Lytechinus pictus: one gene and its partner. The protein of the gene in region 2 purifies or fractionates together with the protein of the main gene of each other region. This does not show direct contact. Links are inferred from orthologs where the notes say so. Each region holds a gene or a part of one and is shown on either strand. Other genes may lie near its edges. The genes, in order: RAD50-interacting protein 1-like and vesicle transport protein USE1-like.

Region 1 (10,610 bases), on a different chromosome or scaffold from region 2:
CAAGGTTAATTTTGGCTACAAGGTTAATTTTGTTGAAATTTTTGGGGGCATCAAGTGCAAGTAATATAAGAGAGACGAGCTATAGCTCTCAAGGTTACATTAGCTATCAAGGTTAATTTTGCCAACAAGGTTAATTTTGGCTACAAGGTTAATTTTGTTGAAATTTTTGGGGGCATCAAGTACAAGTAATATAAGAGAGACGAGCTTTAGCTCTCAAGGTTACATTAGCTATCAAGGTTAATTTTGCCAACAAGGTTAATTTTGGCTACAAGGTTAATTTTGTTGAAATTTTGGGGGCATCAAGTGCAAGTAATATAAGAGAGACGAGCTATAGCTCTCAAGGTTACATTAGCTCTCAAGGTTAATTTTGCCAACAAGGTTAATTTTGGCTACAAGGTTAATTTTGTTGAAATTTTTGGGGGCATCAAGTACAAGTAATAATAGAGAGATTATTCTCTAGCTATCAAGGTTAATTTAGCCAACAAGGTTAATTCGTTTCGACGATGTTATGAAGCCTTGCGCGGCTAGAAAATAGAAAAAGAGGGGAAATGGGGTTAGTGGAATGTAAACTTCTGAATAAACGTGCTGAATAACTGGAAAACTTGGGGGCATCAAGTACAAGTAATAATAGAGAGTTTATTCTCTAGCTATCAAGGTTAATTTTGTCAACACTTCTAGGATTACTCGCCGGATCACTGCTTTCATCAATTTTGGGGGCATCAAGTGCAAGTAATATAAGAGGATAGATGAGGAGGCAAGGATGCGCGCTCATCTAGATGCACCTGTTTGCGCATTTGTACTCGCATCTCATATGGGGTGCGCTAGCGCAAACCAGAACTACTTTCTATTTTTTTTTATAGTGAGAAAAGAAATGTTTACATTTTGGTAACGAAGAATCATCGGGAAATCAAGGAGTACCAAAAGGTAAAAACGTTCATGAGGAGGCAAGGATACTTGATGCCCCCAGGGGACATCAACTTTTTTACCTTGATTCGTGGATCCTCGACCCGACCCTGTTTATCATCGGCGAGTTGATATCCATCCGCGCGTGGTTCGGTTGATCGCGCAACAAATAAAGTAATTGGGGGCATCAAGTACAAGTAATATAAGAGAGACGAGCTTTAGCTCTCAAGGTTACATTAGCTATCAAGGTTAATTTTGCCAACAAGGTTAATTTTGGCTACAAGGTTAATTTTGTTGAGATTTTTGGGGGCATCAAGTACAAGTAATATAAGAGAGACGAGCTTTAGCTCTCAAGGTTACATTAGCTATCAAGGTTAATTTTGCCAACAAGGTTAATTTTGGCTACAAGGTTAATTTTGTTGAAATTTTTGGGGGCATCAAGTACAAGTAATATAAGAGAGACGAGCTATAGCTCTCAAGGTTACATTAGCTATCAAGGTTAATTTTGCCAACGAGGTTAATTTTGGCTACAAGGTTAATTTTGTTGAAATTTTTGGGGGCATCAAGTGCAAGTAATATAAGAGAGACGAGCTATAGCTCTCAAGGTTACATTAGCTATCAAGGTTAATTTTGCCAACAAGGTTAATTTTGGCTACAAGGTTAATTTTGTTGAAATTTTTGGGGGCATCAAGTACAAGTAATATAAGAGAGACGAGCTTTAGCTCTCAAGGTTACATTAGCTATCAAGGTTAATTTTGCCAACAAGGTTAATTTTGGCTACAAGGTTAATTTTGTTGAAATTTTGGGGGCATCAAGTGCAAGTAATATAAGAGAGACGAGCTATAGCTCTCAAGGTTACATTAGCTCTCAAGGTTAATTTTGCCAACAAGGTTAATTTTGGCTACAAGGTTAATTTTGTTGAAATTTTTGGGGGCATCAAGTACAAGTAATAATAGAGAGATTATTCTCTAGCTATCAAGGTTAATTTAGCCAACAAGGTTAATTCGTTTCGACGATGTTATGAAGGCTTGCGCGGCTAGAAAATAGAAAAAGAGGGGAAATGGGGTTAGTGGAATGTAAACTTCTGAATAAACGTGCTGAATAACTGGAAAACTTGGGGGCATCAAGTACAAGTAATAATAGAGAGTTTATTCTCTAGCTATCAAGGTTAATTTTGTCAACACTTCTAGGATTACTCGCCGGATCACTGCTTTCATCAATTTTGGGGGCATCAAGTGCAAGTAATATAAGAGGATAGATGAGGAGGCAAGGATGCGCGCTCATCTAGATGCACCTGTTTGCGCATTTGTACTCGCATCTCATATGGGGTGCGCTAGCGCAAACCAGAACTACTTTCTATTTTTTTTTATAGTGAGAAAAGAAATGTTTACATTTTTGTAACGAAGAATCATCGGGAAATCAAGGAGTACCAAAAGGTAAAAACGTTCATGAGGAGGCAAGGATACTTGATGCCCCCAGGGGACATCAACTTTTTTACCTTGATTCGTGGATCCTCGACCTGACCCTGTTTATCATCGGCGAGTTGATATCCATCCGCGCGTGGTTCGGTTGATCGCGCAACAAATAAAGTAATTGGGGGCATCAAGTACAAGTAATATAAGAGAGACGAGCTTTAGCTCTCAAGGTTACATTAGCTATCAAGGTTAATTTTGCCAACAAGGTTAATTTTGGCTACAAGGTTAATTTTGTTGAGATTTTTGGGGGCATCAAGTACAAGTAATATAAGAGAGACGAGCTTTAGCTCTCAAGGTTACATTAGCTATCAAGGTTAATTTTGCCAACAAGGTTAATTTTGGCTACAAGGTTAATTTTGTTGAAATTTTTGGGGGCATCAAGTACAAGTAATATAAGAGAGACGAGCTATAGCTCTCAAGGTTACATTAGCTATCAAGGTTAATTTTGCCAACGAGGTTAATTTTGGCTACAAGGTTAATTTTGTTGAAATTTTTGGGGGCATCAAGTGCAAGTAATATAAGAGAGACGAGCTATAGCTCTCAAGGTTACATTAGCTATCAAGGTTAATTTTGCCAACAAGGTTAATTTTGGCTACAAGGTTAATTTTGTTGAAATTTTTGGGGGCATCAAGTACAAGTAATATAAGAGAGACGAGCTTTAGCTCTCAAGGTTACATTAGCTATCAAGGTTAATTTTGCCAACAAGGTTAATTTTGGCTACAAGGTTAATTTTGTTGAAATTTTGGGGGCATCAAGTGCAAGTAATATAAGAGAGACAAGCTATAGCTCTCAAGGTTACATTAGCTCTCAAGGTTAATTTTGCCAACAAGGTTAATTTTGGCTACAAGGTTAATTTTGTTGAAATTTTTGGGGGCATCAAGTACAAGTAATAATAGAGAGATTATTCTCTAGCTATCAAGGTTAATTTAGCCAACAAGGTTAATTCGTTTCGACGATGTTATGAAGGCTTGCGCGGCTAGAAAATAGAAAAAGAGGGGAAATGGGGTTAGTGGAATGTAAACTTCTGAATAAACGTGCTGAATAACTGGAAAACTTGGGGGCATCAAGTACAAGTAATAATAGAGAGTTTATTCTCTAGCTATCAAGGTTAATTTTGTCAACACTTCTAGGATTACTCGCCGGATCACTGCTTTCATCAATTTTGGGGGCATCAAGTGCAAGTAATATAAGAGGATAGATGAGGAGGCAAGGATGCGCGCTCATCTAGATGCACCTGTTTGCGCATTTGTACTCGCATCTCATATGGGGTGCGCTAGCGCAAACCAGAACTACTTTCTATTTTTTTTTATAGTGAGAAAAGAAATGTTTACATTTTGGTAACGAAGAATCATCGGGAAATCAAGGAGTACCAAAAGGTAAAAACGTTGATGTCCCCTGGGGGCATCAAGTACAATTATGCCATATTTTTTCATTTTTTTGATGAATTCTTGTTTTCTAAATAACAACGAGAGCGTAGAAATGTCGGAAATGAAGTTTTATCCCATTTACATGATTTAGAGCTAGGCCCTAGATCTTTTAGAAGGAAAGTAGAAATCTTGGGGGCGAAAGTTTCAGGGTTTTTTGCAGTACACGCAGATGAATGGGGAGGAATGCCTGGCTTCGTATGAGAGTAACCTTACGTTAGTAAATGATTTTTACTCTCTAGAAGCCGCCTGGCTAGCCTGGCCATGCCCCTGGGTTAGATTGACTTGACGAGTGCTCCGGCTCCTGACTAGGCTATCCTACGTCAATGCGAGGGTGTGGGACTACAGTCTAAGGTATAAACAGATCTGAACAATTTACCTCTTGTTCTATCCTTGCCTTTTCCTCAAGTGCATCCTTAAGCATATCTTCGGTAACAGAGAGCTTTTTGATATCATTTCCTATCTGCATATCAATCATTCGACGTATTTCATCCGAATATCCAGGCAATGATGAGCCCGATTCTTGATGTGGTCCCTTCTCAGCCATCGTCGCAAAGTTTTTTCTTCATCCTTTTTTTTTTTTTTTTTTTTACGTGTACGTACGTACGTACGTACCGTACGCTGCCCAATTCTCGCTCACCCTCACAAGCGCGATGCGCACGCTGCTTATTATGATTATCATTTTAAATTCGTCCCAAATTCCTTATAGTTTAGTATACTCGCATAATTAAGCACCCAAGAGGAGACCATTACATGAAAAAACAAAGTGTGGAAAAATAAAATCAATCCCTTAATAAATCATCGTGAAATACTGCTTTAAATGTAAAGTAACCCGATAACTGTTTGAACTTCGATCAACTGTACCGCAACTGCACCAAATTACGTTTTTTTTCAATCACTTTAAAAACTCCTAAAAACAGTGAAAAATGTTATATTCTTATATGATGAATGAAAATGTGAGATTCGTAGGTGCGGGAGGTCCTGATATGTCGTCATGACAATTTTTTCTAGAATGAATATTTGTTGTGTGAATGAATTAGCGAGGGCATACCTTGAGATAGCAGCCTGCCCTAACTCCGCTCACCCTGATTGTGTATGATAATCATTGTAAGAGTATAGGGCCTAAACGGAATTGTCATAATTTTTCAAGTAGACTTTTCTTTAAAATCTGATTTTTTGTGTCATTTCCTCTATTTTGATGGTGCTGAACATGAATCCGCTTGTTGCCAGTTTCATAAATGCCTCCTTCCGCCGTTGCCATGGCAACTGATTAATATGTTTAAAAAAAAAGTTGATCCTATATATATGGCACATTACCCTGTCAATTTAAATGGTCCAATCTATCATTCTTAAGCCTTCCAAATTCAATTTCTAGATATAGGCCTATCAAGTCATCAAAGTATTTGCAAAAGATACATTGCCATGGTAACGGCTTATCTTTCCCGCAGAAAAATACAATTGTCTTGATTGCCTGCAGAGACATGCAGAGCGCCGCTTTTTCCGACGGCGCCGCGCGGGCGGCGTCGTAAACATTGAAATCTTAAAACAGGATAAGTTTGTGAAATGTAATCATAAGTTTGAAATAGGCCTACAGGTTTTTATAGCTATCATGAAACTTCGAAATAAGGGAGTCAGTGAAAATCCTATAGTGAGTTTCAGGTCATGCCACGGTCAAAGGTAATTTAAGGTCAATGACGGAACTTTGGCCAATGACGTTGGGGGCATTTATTGAATTGCCATCATAAATCAACATTATGGTGGGAAAAGATGAATGGTGGAAAATGACAATGAAAATGCCAAAATCTATGTAGGTTTGACTTAAATATCGAAAACAACAGAGTGTTCTGCATGGATATAAGTTCATTTGAATGCATGATAATGGTATGTTGCCATGGTAACGCCTGATTACTCTACTAATTCAACTCGTGAATTTAATATGAGATGAAAATTAAGTGTAAACAATGTAGGAATGTCTGAATTTATTTCAGGTCATAATTCATAATTTTTTGCTTGTCAAATTTTCCAGCCCCTTGCCCCCCCCCCCCCTACTTTTTGGGAGAGATTTCCGCCCCTGATTCAGAGAAAAAACCGAGACATTTTAAGCACTTTTGTAATGATGTTTTATGTTACAAACCGAGAATGACTTGAAAACAAGACATGAATAATGAAACAAACGGGCAATGCGGGTGCGAAGCGCAGGCTGAATAGTTATTTTGTTCTAAATGAAGGGGACAGGTATTTGTCGGTCCCCCAACTCTCATTTTCGTCTTGTCTTCTTCCTTTTATTTTCCTTCCTCTTAATCTTTTTTTTTTCATTTCATTATTTTCCTATTCCGGCCTTGATTGATACCTCTTCCGTTGTCTTTTTTGCGACGCGGCCATTTTTTCTTCTTTATACTCTTTTACATTTTCCTCTCTCACTTCTCCTATGATTTCTTCTCTATCTCCCCCTCTCTCTCCCTTTAGCTGAGGGTGACGGCAAATAAAAGCCCCTCGGTCGTCAACGATTTATCATGGAGCAGGCAGATAAGCTGACGTTTACAGAAATGTTGAAAGATGATCAAAAGAGTTTGTCACTGTTCACCAGAAATATTTCGAGATTTAATTGTAATCATTGTCCCGGCCCAAAGTGTTTGGGAAAAAGTTTTACAAAAATTATCTTGCTCTATAACGAATCGTAGGGTCATCAATGCTAAAAAATGAGACTTCGATGTTTATCACTAAATACCGACGTACAAACAACTTAGAGATATAGGGATAGTTTTTTTTTTTGTTCTGGGGTGAAGCCCCTCCCCCGGTTCCGCGGCCCCTGGCAGGCTGGCATGTCTTCTAGGCTATTATCGATCGTAATACTGTTTTTTTTATGTGGCGTATTCATATTTTGATGATTACCAATATTATTTACTCAGAGTATGACATTTAGGGATAATTTAATTGGAATGATGGAAATAGATGTGTAATTAGGCCTATATGTGATAACTTATGAGCCTAATGATACATATATTTTATGGTAGGCCCATATGCATTATCTGCATGCCTATCTGATTCATATCTATAAATCTAAATAAAATAAAGAATTTAAATGAATAAATAAGAAAAAATCTCCCACTAATGGGCCTATATATAGGCCTTTTGAACTCGGTCAGTAGTTTCCTGATTGATTTGAATAGATGAAACTTTGTCATGTTTCTGGAGATTTCCTTTTTTTAATTGTGTTTTGTTTGAAAACGGAACAGGATTTAAATTGACCAATTTATTTTGAACAAATATAATTTTTTTGAGTGCCTTTTTCCCTCTCCTATTATTGACGGAAGTTCGAATATGAACTTAAACCAGCGAGGTGATTAAATATTTATTGTTGTTTTTCAAGATGAGCTTTTTTTTAATGAAAGTCAATATAAGGGAATCCCCCCAAAAATATTATCGGAGTTCAGGGTTCAAGGTTTATGCACATCAACATTTCACATTTTCAAAAAATCAACAATTCAATACAAACAATAATATTATACAATAGGCCTACAAGTTTTCATAGATAAGCATAAATAAACATCGTAAAAATATGAAATGTGTACATAATATAACAATAGAAAAAAGTACTAGAATGTATTCTTGTAATTGGTTCTAAAATTATGACAAAGAAAGAAAATGAGAGATGTGGATATGAGGGAGCTAAAAGTAAAAGCAAAGCTTGTTGGTTGAAGGCTCCAAAGAATTATGCAGTGAGAGTCCCATAAAATATCAATACGACAAGAAAAAGTAAAGAGTAAACAAAAAAGTGGGATACACGAATACATATATACTTGATAAATAATGAGTCAAGATAGTGTAAAAGCAACAAATTTGATTTAGAACCTGAAGGAGGATGCAAATAATTATTTCAAAAAAAAAAAAATAATAATGGAAATCAATGGCCAATGGCATCTGGGGGCGATGAGCGGAAGGGACGACAAGGGGGGGGGGGGCACTCAAGTTGGATGAGTGGCGAAAATGATTACTTTGAATGGCGAATGTGCTAAAAGAGTTTTATAGCGTTTTATTTATAAGAATGTAAATTCATCAATATTCATATTTTAAGTTAATTAAGTTAACTTAACTATATCAAGCATGTTATTCTATTATATATATTGTTCTTTAAACATTTTTGTTCATGCTGACTCTTTTATCCGCTTCCGATTTTTTGTAAGCACCCTTATTATAGCACTGGTTAGGGTCATGGTCTTTATTGACAACAGTAATTTATTTGACCCAGTGGGTGCTCAATCTATATACTCTGTTAATGTTGTATTACATTAATTGTTCCAATTTCATATACTTTTCATTTCCGAAATGAATAAATAAATAATAATATACTCATAAAATTCACGAATGGATTAGAATCATATTCATATTATTAGACAATTGAAATCAGTTAAAAGTTTGTCGGGAAAGGTTTTTTGAAAATATGTATTTTATAAAAAATACGGAATAAAGTTTGGAGGATAAAAAAAACCGATATAAAGGCGTAGATCAGTAACAAAAAGTTACTTTGAGGCCCTAAAAATAATTGCACTTGGCGAAAGAAACATTTTATACAGTGTATAGTACTATAAAACTTGTATACAATACATTTAATCAGAACAAAATTACACACTTTCTCACTCAGAAGTGCAAGAGAAAAGGGTAGAAAAAAGAGTTAGACAGTATCAGGCCTTAACACCATGTATGAATGCGCGCGCTAAGCGAGCGGAGTTAGGGCAATGGTGAGCGGCGATTGGGCAGGCGCAAGGGGTGCCAAAAACGGCGAATTACGCAGCGGGGCTTCTAAGACATATAATTATTATCCTATGAAACGATTTTCCAGTATTTTCGCTTTCAGATGACATATGGAAGTAAGCATATCGTAGCTCATTGAATGAAACATAAAGGAAAATACGTAAACTGAGCGACGATTGGGCAGCGTACGGTACGTGTACCGGTATCTAGCGCATGCGCTCGAAGCTGATCAGATCCGCTACGCCCCTGATTACTTGTACCTGTAGATTAAAGTAAGGCTTTTTTTTGGGGGGGGGGGGGGGGGGCTTTACTCTAATAAAAAAGTCTAAAGAGTCAAGATAAATTTCTGATCGATCGATGTGCGATTTTCTGCTCACGCTTCATGCTCGCATTATTAATGGAGGAATTATGATTTACAAAACGTAGTGTCCTGTTTTTAGGTCTAAAATCTCAATTTTCTTCCACTCGCATTAATTGTTTAGTTATGCATGACCTATACCTTTCATGATTACAAAGTGCTTGGAATGGCCTTTTTTTAGGTTGGAATGGCCTTTTTTAGGTCGGAATGTTGAAATTTTCAACTCGCGCTGGCATTATTTTAATTGTTGAAAGAATTTCCGCTCGCGCTTTGGCGCTCGCACTTAAATCTATACGCATCTTGCCCAGGATCACAAACATTCAAGTTCCACAGAATGTTAAATTTTCAGGACAAAACTTGAGATTAAAAAAAAAATCTAATAGGGCTTATGAGATTATTTCATTTAAAAAAAATAAGAATAAAGCAAGAAGTGACTGATAAAAATATGCATGAAAACAAAACTGCCGCCCCCCCCCCTATCAGTGAGAGCTGGATCCGCCCCTGCCATGTCTATCCAGCGGAAAATTGACAAGTTGGGGGGCACATTCGTCTGAGTGGTACTCGCTCTGTCAGAACTGAATATTTTGCCAAGCTAAATTGGATGAAGTCTACCCCTTACCCCCACTTGTTGCCATTCTTATGCTGATATTTCCTCTTTTTATCACTTCTACTTAGGCCTATCTAAAAAAAAATGAATAAATCGCATGACATATACATGTACATGCAGGGCATTTTAACTTGAAATAAGATCTCATATGATGATCAAAAATTGTAATACGTACTTTCAAGCTAACAATTTGGATTGTGAGGTGATATTAATACTATAACACGCACATACATCTGCATTAAAAATTTGTTTTTCTCACGTAATTTCCGTTTACATTGTGAACAAGTTCAGTTTATCTATTGTGACTCATTCTTACTGGACTCCTCATAGTAGACGAGTTAGCAATTGGATGAATTGGCATTGGATCAAATGAAAATAAACCGAATCCTCAAACCGTCTTATTTACATATTCACTTTTTGATGACTTGAATTATCACGTTATGTAATAACTTCTGGAGATGAACATATGAATTTTGGTCACTAGTTTCAATCATTGTACCGCTTTCTGACTCGCATAACTCTATATTACAGCTGGTTAGTACAGAAAAGTCTAATTGCCGACTATAATGAATTTCAACGTACTATTTATGTCATCCTTCTTTCTTTCTTGTTCATTATTATCAGCAGCATCATCATCATCTTTATCTGCATCATCATCATCTTCTTAAGTTCTTCATCACTTTAATCACAATAATCTTATTCTTTCTATCGTCACCACCACCTTCATTTTCATCACCATCATCATAATCACCACCATCATCAACCTTCAACATCCTTTTCATCACCATCTCATCCGAACATCTCCCTCTATCTAGGCCGGGGTATTTTGGGAGTTCATATGGCCGGGGGGGGGGGGGGGGGGGGTTGAGATCTCTGCCGTCGACCGCGCCGAAAATTGGCACGCAGGTTGTCTGGGATATAATCTACAAAATTGTATAGTAATTTGTTTCATGCGAATTGTTATTAAGTAATTATGCTAATTTATGCATAATTAGGATGCAAAATCATATTTTTTCCTGTAACTCCATAAATAAAGCTCCAAATGTTCTAATTTTTGGCATAGAAACTCTTTGTGGTGTTCTTAGCAAGTT
Region 2 (10,764 bases):
AAAATTGGATTTAAGCTTTAACACTGCAATGAATGGGAATTTCAAGGGCTCCTTTTTTTTTTATAGTAGTTTCCAGGGCTTCTTTGAGCATTTTGACCCCCATGGATTGTTTTCCCTGACATGAAACACACTGAAATTAAACCAACAAATGAAAGACACCCCATACATTCAAAACCACGCTGAGCTAGCTGTGAATATTTGTTTTGAATGTAAAGAAAAATAGGTCCATCAATATTAGAATGTTTCCCAACATTCTTCTATTTCTTCATCCTTCAAGCAGTATGAAGATACCAATTGGCGACTCTTTTAATTTCGAAGTCACATCTCTTTTTTTTTGAGGTGGTATATGTCACACTTTGGGCGTATTTTATATTACAGGTCTTGGCCTTACCAACTTTTCCATCTGAATAACTTCTTTTAGAAAATCAACCTTCTTACTGTAATCCTGCATCAGTTCAGCAGCTGGTTTCCTGTTAATGATATCACAAAAGGGTCAAAAGGATCTGATTAGGATTTCTAACAATCATAGAATATAAACTCCAGTGTCCCTGACTGTCCCGTTTTATGAAACTTGTTTTAATAACAGAATTATAACTGTTGAATTCTTGGTGTCTGACTGGCTGATAGAGAGTTTGTAAAACTACCAGGCCTGGTGAAAAAAAAAGCAATGTTTGTCGAGAGGCTATTGTACAATTCTCATTCCAAAATAGTTTGGCTCCCTCAATTAAAAAAAAATAAATTACCCATTCAAGCACTTGATATTAAAAGTACATTTTACTATCTTAAGTCGAATGCGATTTTCTCAAAGTTCTGTTAAAAAATCCCCACAAATTAAAAGAATATTCATCATTAATTCCCAAACTCAAAATTTCATGACGAGATGAATTATTTCAATTATACCACGATTAAGATGCATGTAGCTTATATACTTACATTTGAGATTTTTTCAAGTCTGCTAGCTTATCTTGTAGTGCACAGACATACTGTGGAGAAAGATAAAAATGATTATACAGACATTAGCCTAATCCAAAATCAGTGGGTGGAAATTAGATTAGAAAGAGTCAACTTGGTTTATAGTAGCTGCATCATTTTAATTCTTAAACATCACCATTGGCATTGCCATTGCATCAGAAACAAACAAAATTTTAATCAAAGCTTCTTCAACTTTAAATATTGTGCATTTAATTTGTATTCATTTCTGCAGTTGATTAAACTTAAAGGGATGGTCCAGACTTGAGATATTTATATCTAAATAGAGTAAAATTCACAAAGCAAAATGCTTAAAATTTGATCGAAATTGGATAACAAATAAGAAAGTTTATTGAATTTTAATGATTTGCATTATTCTGGTGAAACAGGTCTAGGCATGTCTTTATGAATATTCATTAGGTGGGCTGATGATGTCATATCCCCACTTGTTCTTTTGTATTTTATTATATGGAATTAGATTTATTTAAAAAATTTCTACCAAGAACTCAATCAATTGGATTGACAACTGATTAAGTGCATTAGTTATTTATTGCCGCAACTTATTTCATCATAATGGAGACACATCATTTACACATGTATGAAAAAAATGAAACATTTATGATTTCATGTAACATAAGAAAAAGGAAAGTGGGGATGTGAGTGTGACATCATCAGCCTACCTAATGAATATTCATGACGATGTGCATATAGCTGTTTTCACAAAATATTGATAAACTTTAAAATTCAATAACTTCATTATTTGTTATCCGATTTTGATGAAATTTTCAGCATTTTGCTCTGTGAATTATACATCCATTTAACTGTTTGTGTTAGACCTCTTGTAAAGCATGTAAGGACCACTCATTCAATGAACAAGGTTATGATATAACCTTGTTCTCAGTTACATCTCCATGTGTTGCAAAATAAGGGTAGCAATGTTTGGCTTATTTTCTCTTTTTCTTTGGGACAAATGCTTGATTTTTTTACACTGTCTGTTTCCATTACAGCTATTCATCATATAACTTGGCTCTTAAGTAAATTTGATTCTTTAAATTATTTTTTCTTAATTAAAAATAGAGATTGAAAAATGAAAATTTTCTTACCATATTACTTTCCACCAATAGAGGGCGTACACAAAAATGTGCCCAAAATTTTAGTTTTTGAGCGCTCTGGTGAATACAAAAATTAGTCCCTGGTTACTAATGAAAAATAAATTGCAACTTTATGGAATAGTAATTTTGGTCACAAAAGTGACATTTTAATGATTTTTTAAAGTGTGTGCTGTGTACAGCATTGGCATACCATAGTCCTACCTGTAGATTCCCCACAGGCAGGATGGTTGCAGTGAGCAAGTGGTAAGGACTTTGATATTGATGGTACTGTAGTGGTAGAATTTTATTAATTTAAGTTTATTTTTTTCCGTTTTGGTGCATTTCAGGCCAAAACGGAATAATAATCTTTATTTTGGTCCAGTTATTATTATATATTTTTATGAAATTAAGACAAAAATTGATAAGCCCCATCGGAGGGATTTTGCATTGTTAACCCCCAAATGGCAGCTGCACATGGCTCGCGATCGTGACTCAGCCATCTGTGTACAACCTGTCTGTGTACGAGGATAATTTTTTTTTTAATGTTTAAAAACTCCTCGAAACAGACGGCTGCCAGCTGCTGTCTAGTCTAGATCTAGACCAAAAGCTTCGGTCCCTGTTATACTTATGTTGGTTGTTCCACTGAACTCCGTTGGCTTCACTCACGAGAAAAAAAAAAAAAATGTTCAAAAACTCCTCGAAACAGACGGCTGCCAGCTGTCTAGTCTAGATCTAACTTGTTAGACCTTGGATTGGAAGAATGCACACCTTCCTAGCAATGCCAATAGGCAATAGCACGAAAAGTGATAAATAAAACTGATACTGATAGACAGGAATAACCGTCGTTTCTGGGGATTTATTCAACAATTTCTGACATTTTACTATAAATGTATTGGTGATAAGTGAGCCAACGCAGTTCGGCGGAACAACCAAAATACAGTATTACAGAGACTGAAGCTTTTGGTCTAGAAAAGTGACTGTCATATATTCTAGGATGACCTTTCTGGGCCGGTAACTTCTCCAGCGGCATTTCCGTATGTGAGTCTGACTGACTATTCCGATTCGGCGGCGCAGCATACCGGGATTACCTTGCCCCGGGAACCTCGACACGACGTCTTTAGTATAGTGAGTGATTGTATTACCGACCGGCCTTGTATTACCGAACGCGCGCATCATTCATACGCATCAGAAAAAAAATTCATACATTCAAAATTTCGCAACATCCTTCCAAAGAGAACTTGAATAGAAAGATGATGAAAAATTGTCAAAAACACATTTTCAAAGTCTTAATATTCTAAAAACAATAAAATATGGTCAAAATAGCTCATCAGTGATTTTGTTGTTTTCTCAACTTTTCCCATAGAAAACACACGTTCGGTAATACGATACCTTTTTCAAGTGACCAAAATATTTCACATGCGAAGAGGGGTCCGATTGGAAGCAAAAATCGTAAAAAGGAAAAACTATTTCGGCAAAAATTTTACATATTTATATTTTGTAGGTAATTGTGTATTTATGGTGAAAGTTTGGTGAATTTTATGAGAATAATGTGCTTGATATGATTGAATTCATGAAAAGTGTTCGGTAATACGATCCACTACCATACGTGTTCGGGTAACCCAGACTGGCCAGAGAGCGGGAGCTCTCTGGGTTAGTGTTCGGGCTGCCGCAGTAAGGATTACCGGCCCGTCATGCGCCGAGCCGGGCCGGGGCCGGTGCGGGCCAGACTGACGTTAGCGCTGGCGATGGATGCATTCGCAAAATCGGCTTACCTTTTCCAGGCGCCAATCCCCCGATCTATTTTCCGCAGCCATTTCTTCACATCTTATTAAAAGTCGTTGGAAATTTACTTCTTCACGAGAAGCTGGCATCTTTGATATAAAAAAGGATAACGTTAGTGTCGTTACAATCAGATGAGAAATAAGTGACGTGGACAAAACTGACGCAAATGTGATGTTAATATTCTGCTCATCGCCCGTCTGACACTGAAGTTATCAACCAATTTCGAAGACATCTCTCAATCTCGATCTCTGTCTTGATTTTTTATGAAGATTCTAAAATTAGAGTTAGTGATTTATAAGGAATCCTAATTTTCTCTCGTGAAAAAAAAATTCTAAAATTTCGGACGGGGGCATTATTACACAAAAAAATAATAATAGTGGTCAAGTTCACCTCAGTTTATTTTTTATGACAGCTGTTACTTGAAGTAATACAATGGATATGGCAGCCGGATGATAGAACAATATTTTTTGTTTTAAGTTGTTATTTATTGAATTCTTTCAATACATCATCAAGACAATATCACTTTTTTGTAACATGATACAAACAAAAAATATACATACATAGTTGTTTTATCATTCATTTGACTTGGAAATAAAAAGTAGTATCTGTAAGTATGCATAAGTACATATCGCTAATCATGATATTTTACATTGAACTGATTTTTAATATGAAATTCATAAAGTACTTGTACAGAATGAATGAAATTAAGCAAAATATATCATCCGGAGGGACAGGAACCCCACACCATACACATAAAACCAGAGAAAAAAAACCCACAACAACAACATCATGTACACTGATGGAGGGATCGATTGATCAGTCTATGATTGCAAAAAAAAAATATTGAATTTATATATATATATATATATATATTGTGTGAAAGAAATGGATGAAGAGAACAATGGTAGGCGTAGCTTAAATCAAGGTTCCCCAGAGCTATCTACCCTTTTTGGAAAAATTGGTGATGCCGAAAAAATGTCTCTGCCGGGAATCGAACCCGGGCCCCCAGCTTTGAACGCCGGTGCCTTAACCACTAGACCACAGAGACGGGTTAGTGGCTAGGGAGACCCCGATCCAATGGGGACATCCCGATAGACCGCGGGTCCGATAGACCGCGGGTCCGTTAGACCGCGGGTCCGATAGACCGCGGGTCCGATAGACCGCGGGTCCGATAGTCCGCGGGTCCGATAGTCCGCAGTGTGTGTAAAATTATGATCAGATATATCAAATGTTATCGAGAGGTCCAAAGGTCAAATGATACGAGGCCATGGGGTTCTATCAGGTGCGGATCCATGGAGGGCCGAGGGGGAACTGCCTCACCCCCCCCCCCACCCCCAGCTAAAAAAAAAGAGGGGGATCGAAGAGGGGAAAAGGGAGAGAATAAAAAAAGAAAGAGGAAGATGGGAAAAGAAGAGAATAGAAAAGAGAGTAAGAAGGAGAAAGGAAGAGAAGAAAAAGGGGAAAGGAAAGACAAAGAAAAAAGGGAGAAGAAAAGGGGAAAGAAGAGGGAAAAAAGAGGAGGGAAAAGGAAGAGAAGAAAAGAAAGGAGAAAGGAAAAGGAGGAAAAAGAAGAAAAAAAAGAGGAACGAAGAGAAGAATATTTAAATAGAGAGGAAGATGGGAAGAAAGATAAGAAAAAAGAGAGAGAGAGGAAGAGGGAAAGAAGAGAAGAAAGAGAGAGAGGGAGGAAGGGGAGAGAGAGGAGAAAAAATATTAAAAGAGAAAAAAGGGAGAAGGAAAGAAAAAGAAAAAGGGAGAAGTAAAGGGGAAAAGAGAAAAAAAGTGGAAGAGGGAAAAGAAAAGAACGGAGTAAGGAAAAGGGGGAAAAGAAGAAGAAAAAAGAGCGAGAGTAAGTGGGAAGAGAGGAAAAACAAGAAAAGAGGGAAAGAAAAGACAGCAAAAAGAGAAGAAAAGGGGGAAAGAAAAGATGGGGGAAATAGAAGAAAGGGGGGAAAAGAAGAGGGGGAAAGAAAGAGAGAAAGAAAGAGAAAGGAAGGAAGGGGAATTAGGATAAAAGAAAGAAAAAAGAAAGAAAAGGAGATGGGAAACGGAAGAGGGAGATGTTGACCTGGACGTCGATTTGATGGCGCCAAAATGACGTTCGAACTATGGGGCGCCGAATTGATGTTCGATCTAGCGGGGCACCAAATTGATGTTCGAACTAGGGGAGCGCTAATTTGAATTTTGACCATAATGCGACAAATACATGTTTCAGAGAGTGGAGGGAGGGCAAAGTTATATTTCACATGATGGGGGCGCCAAGTTTATGTTCAACCGAGGGCGCCAAATTGACCTTGAACTTAGAGGGCTTCATGCAAATTCATTTTCGACCGGGGACGCAACATTGCCTGTTTATAGTAAAATATATGTCCTGCCAAAAAACTTCAATTAATGCGGCTGAATTGAAATATCCCGTTTTTACGATAACAGAAAAAAAAATGTTTTCGAGTTATAAGTCTGTTTAGCGAGATAGATACCCTGTTCAGGGTCACAAAAAAGGGTTATTGTCAAATTCAGCTCGCGCTACGCGCTCGCAATATTTGATTAATGAGGTATGCATCCTCTGCTTCAATCCCACATGTAAGTGTTAGTGTTTTTCAAGTCAACATACATAGGTCGATCCAGGGGGCAAAGATTTTGCCCCCCCCCCCATGGTGGCGCAAAAAGGGGTAAGAAACAGAAAAAAGGAAGAGAAAAGGACAAGCAATTAGAATAGGAATTATACCTTAGTCCTTCTTAAGTCAGTATATAAATACAGCTCAATAGGCTGATATGTAGTTTAAAATATCAAGTTTTGATATCAATATACAAAACATAATTCAGCTCGGACATCGATCTTTCATTATTTTGTCTTATTTACCAATTTATGTTTTAAGTGCTCTGGAAAATGTCCGTTTTATGGTTTGAATCAACATTTGCAACATTTTGTGCGCTCGCACTATATGCCAAGTAGGCCTATGTATTGTCTTTTTATATTTAATATAAGATTCTCTAAATATACCTTTTCAGGTGTCTCGATTAAAAATAATAATAATAAAGGCCTATGAGCTAGCGCTGTGCGCTCGCGTTTTGATTGGTGAGTTATGTATACCTATATATTAATTTTATAACAAACTACTTAAATCCCCCCATTAAAAGAAAAATACGGATCGCGATTTGCGCTCGCATTATTTGCTAAAAATATATCAACCAATGAATCCTATTCATGATTACAAAAATACTTAAAATATCCAGTTTTCAGGCCTCATGCACTGTCAACAAATTTCACACACTCATTAGGCTTAACAGATTAATAAATATGAAATAAAATTTGTATAAATTCATTATAACTAAATTGTCCCTTTTTCAGAAATAAATTTTTAGGAAAACAAAGAGAAGATAGTCATCATTCTTATATGATGACAAAATGTCCTTAGGCCTAAAATGTCTCGATCCTAGGTCAAATAAATAATAAAATATCAGCTCGCGCTTCGCGCTCGCATTATTTTTATAGTGCTATCAAATTTCCCTATATACACAGTGCTGTAAACAGTGCTTAAATTGACCCTTTTTATATCGGAATTTCAAATATTATTTTCAGCTCGGGCTCTGCGCTCGCATTATTGATTTTTATGATGAAAAATGAAATGTATTCAGATTGCCAGGATTCTGTCTAACTCTAAAACACGCGCACGCATGTTTTTAGGATACAAAGCTTGATCTTATTCAAAACGTGCTAAAATTATCCAGTTTCGAATCAGAATATCAAAAAAATTTTGCTCGCGCTTTGCGCTCGCATTATTATTGTAGGAAGATACCAAAAATTACCCATCCTTTTTCATGATTGACAAACATGAATCGAATGTCCCATTGGGGGATTTGAAATCTCATCTTTTTAGGTTGGAATATCAAAAATGTTCAGCTCGCGCTTCGCGCTCGCATTATTTAATCGTTGAAATATGTATCGTCTTAATGGCTAACTGCAAAACATCCTTAACATGTCCCTTTTCGACCAGGCCAGAACGAATATTTAACATTTCTGCTCGGCTTCGCGCTCGTGGTAATTATCTAGTTATATACGCTGTTCAGGTTCACAAACATTGCCCAAAATGTTCAATTTTCAGGACAAAATACATGAAATTTCATTTTTAGATTACATAGGGCTTAAGAGATTATTACACATGTATGTTGCTTATAAAGTAAAGCTAGGAAATGACTGTTAGGACATGGGTGTTTTGCCCCCCCCCCCCCAAAAAAAAAAAAAAGAAGAAGAGAGAATCAAGACTAAGAAAAAATAGAGAGAAAAGGAAAGGGATAAGGATGAAATATAATATTATTTTCCAAATATTATGTCAAAATCTATCACAACCTTGTGTTTTTGTAATAAAAATGTCAGCATATTTGCTTGCTCGCTTCGCTCACTGGCAACTTCTTATTAATTTTATGCGATACACCATATCGATCCCCCTCGAAATTGTTGGCTCATTACGGCACTGGGACAACCCCTTCAAAGAAACAAAAAAAAAAATCAACTTTGAGCGGCCGATCGGGGAAAATATGGGTGAAAAAATGGCCCCTCCCCCTAATGGCGGAAGCTGGGTCCGCCCCTGACTTAGGCTTTCAGGATATAATACATGATAAATCTATACAAAAAAAATCAGATCGCGCTTCGCGTTCTCATTATTTATTTAGGCCTTGTGAGATACCTCAATTTGTTTTTAAGAATGAAATATCAGATTTTCTTTGACGTCTACCACCCCCCCCCCCATTTCATTTATTTTTTTAACTTGGTGCCCCCCCCCCCTCCCTCCCCACGAAATCCTGGATCTGCGCCTGGGTTCTATAACAATAACCCAATTAGGGCAATCACCCCCTGACAACTACTTCAAGGAAAATATTATCCCCATATTTTTACCGGCGGGGACTGATACCCCCCCCCCCCGGAAATTTACCCTCCAGATAATTACCCCGGATAATTACCCCTAGTATGGAGCCTTGAAAATGCCATTAACGTGACGACATGGCGTGGTACTTTATCTTGCCATGTCTTAATTAATCATTGGCGGCGGAAGGCAAAAAAAATTTAGGGGGGTCCACCTGAAATTTTGGGATGGACACAGGTAAAAAAATTGACAAGCAAATCAACCAAAATTTATAGGAAGGACCACCAATTTTGAACAATTTTTGACAAGAAAAAAGGTTATAAACCAAAATTAGGGGGACAAAAAGATTTTAGGGGGGGTCCACCTCAATTTAGGGGGGACGTAGAAAACAAATTGACAAGCAAAAAAAAGGTTCTCAACTAAAAATCTAGGGGGGACCGTCCCCCACCTCAAATTTAGGAGGAAAGGCCCCCCCCCCCGCTTCCGCCGCCTAAGTAATTAATACGCTTATTATTTTGACATAGCGATATATTCTATCTTGTCAAGTCGATATGTCCACATGGCGAGATATGAAGTGTACAAGCCCCGGCGAGAATCCCGATATATCGCTATGTTGACATGTAACTTATTTAAGTCGACTTGGCAAGATAAAATATCTCGCCATGTTGACATATAACTTTTTATAAGTGGACTGACTTGGCAGGATAACGTATCGCGCCATTATTTAGTCGACATGGCAAGATAAAGTATCTCGCCATGTCGTCAAGTCGATGGCTCCGTATGGCGTCTAGAGGGTAAATTTCCGGGGGGGGGGGGGGTAACAGTCCCTGACGATAAAATATGGGGATAATATTTTCCTTGAAGTAGATTTCAGGGGGCGATTGTCCTTTGGGTCATCGTTATAGAACCCCAATGGACTCGTATCATTGGCCTTTTGACCTCTTGATGGCATTGGATCTCACTATATAACCTGACCATTATTTTTACACAAACCGCGGGCTATCGGACCCGCGGTCTATCGGACCCGCGGACTATCGGACCCGCGGTCTATCGGACCCGCGGTCTATCGGACCCGCGGACTATCGGACCCGCGGTCTATCGGACCCGCGGGCTATCGGACCCGCGGTCTATCGGACCCGCGGTCTATCGGGCTGTAACCGATCCAATTGACCGTCAGATAGACAGATTTTCGACACCATACCAATTATAATTTCCTTTGTCGGGAAATATATATATATATATGTCTATAAAGTCAAAACTTCTTTCTTAAAAATATTATGTAAAAACAAACAAATATATGATACAAATCACATTACATGTACCTCCAAATATTAATTAAGTATATACCATATTTAAATAACTAACATGATTATTGTCATTCTGACAAACCATAGTAAAAAACACTTACTGATAGCATTTACAATTCATCTGTTCACTGTTATATTTGAATATATTATCATAACATATTCAATTAAATATGTAAACATTTATTGAGTTATCTTTAATTGGCCATGAAATCATAATAGGGAATTTCATTCAACAGATATTGAAAGTAACCTACAGTAATATGTACATGGCAACACCCACTGAAAATGATTTGTTCACACAATCAACTATCTCGAGATTTAAAAAATACGTTTTATACATAACATCTCATCTAACTTCTACACTCTTAAAATAGTTGGGCAAAATAAATGCCCAACTTTTAAAACATGGGCAACATTACTGTCCACACAACTATTGGTTAAAATCTGTCCATTGGGTAAACTAATTATTGTGTAATAAATTTGCTCAATTGGATAATTGCCCAGAATATATATATATTTTACCATATACATTACTCAACAAAGTGGACAGTATGTTGCCAAACATTTTAAGTGTGTAGTACTACTTACTCAAATATCACTAAACAAGTTTATCAATGCGAATAACACTATTCTAATACTATTCTACCTAAGAAATTATTATCACTTTATACACATTTTTTTTTATCATGTGTCTTTACATAAAAAGGAAAGTGTCCGTGTAAAAATAAATCTTGTCTGATCTTTATGCTTATG

Evidence for each region.
Region 1: the proteins of vesicle transport protein USE1-like (region 2) and RAD50-interacting protein 1-like purify together in Homo sapiens (co-immunoprecipitation; 3 studies listed by BioGRID and IntAct, counting the BioPlex papers as one, with this or other methods). This does not show direct contact. The link is inferred for Lytechinus pictus from reciprocal best matches to the Homo sapiens genes USE1 and RINT1.

Annotation. Positions count from the first base shown.
Region 1 is NC_087254.1:36,488,646-36,499,255, forward strand, and holds the start of RAD50-interacting protein 1-like, read right to left. Parts: upstream 4,381-10,610; 5' UTR 4,350-4,380; coding exon 4,182-4,349; intron 1-4,181. UniProt on the Homo sapiens protein: Involved in regulation of membrane traffic between the Golgi and the endoplasmic reticulum (ER); the function is proposed to depend on its association in the NRZ complex which is believed to play a role in SNARE assembly at the ER.
Region 2 is NC_087249.1:30,179,850-30,190,613, forward strand, and holds the start of vesicle transport protein USE1-like, read right to left. Parts: upstream 4,117-10,764; 5' UTR 3,932-4,116; coding exon 3,833-3,931; intron 984-3,832; coding exon 934-983; intron 471-933; coding exon 392-470; intron 1-391.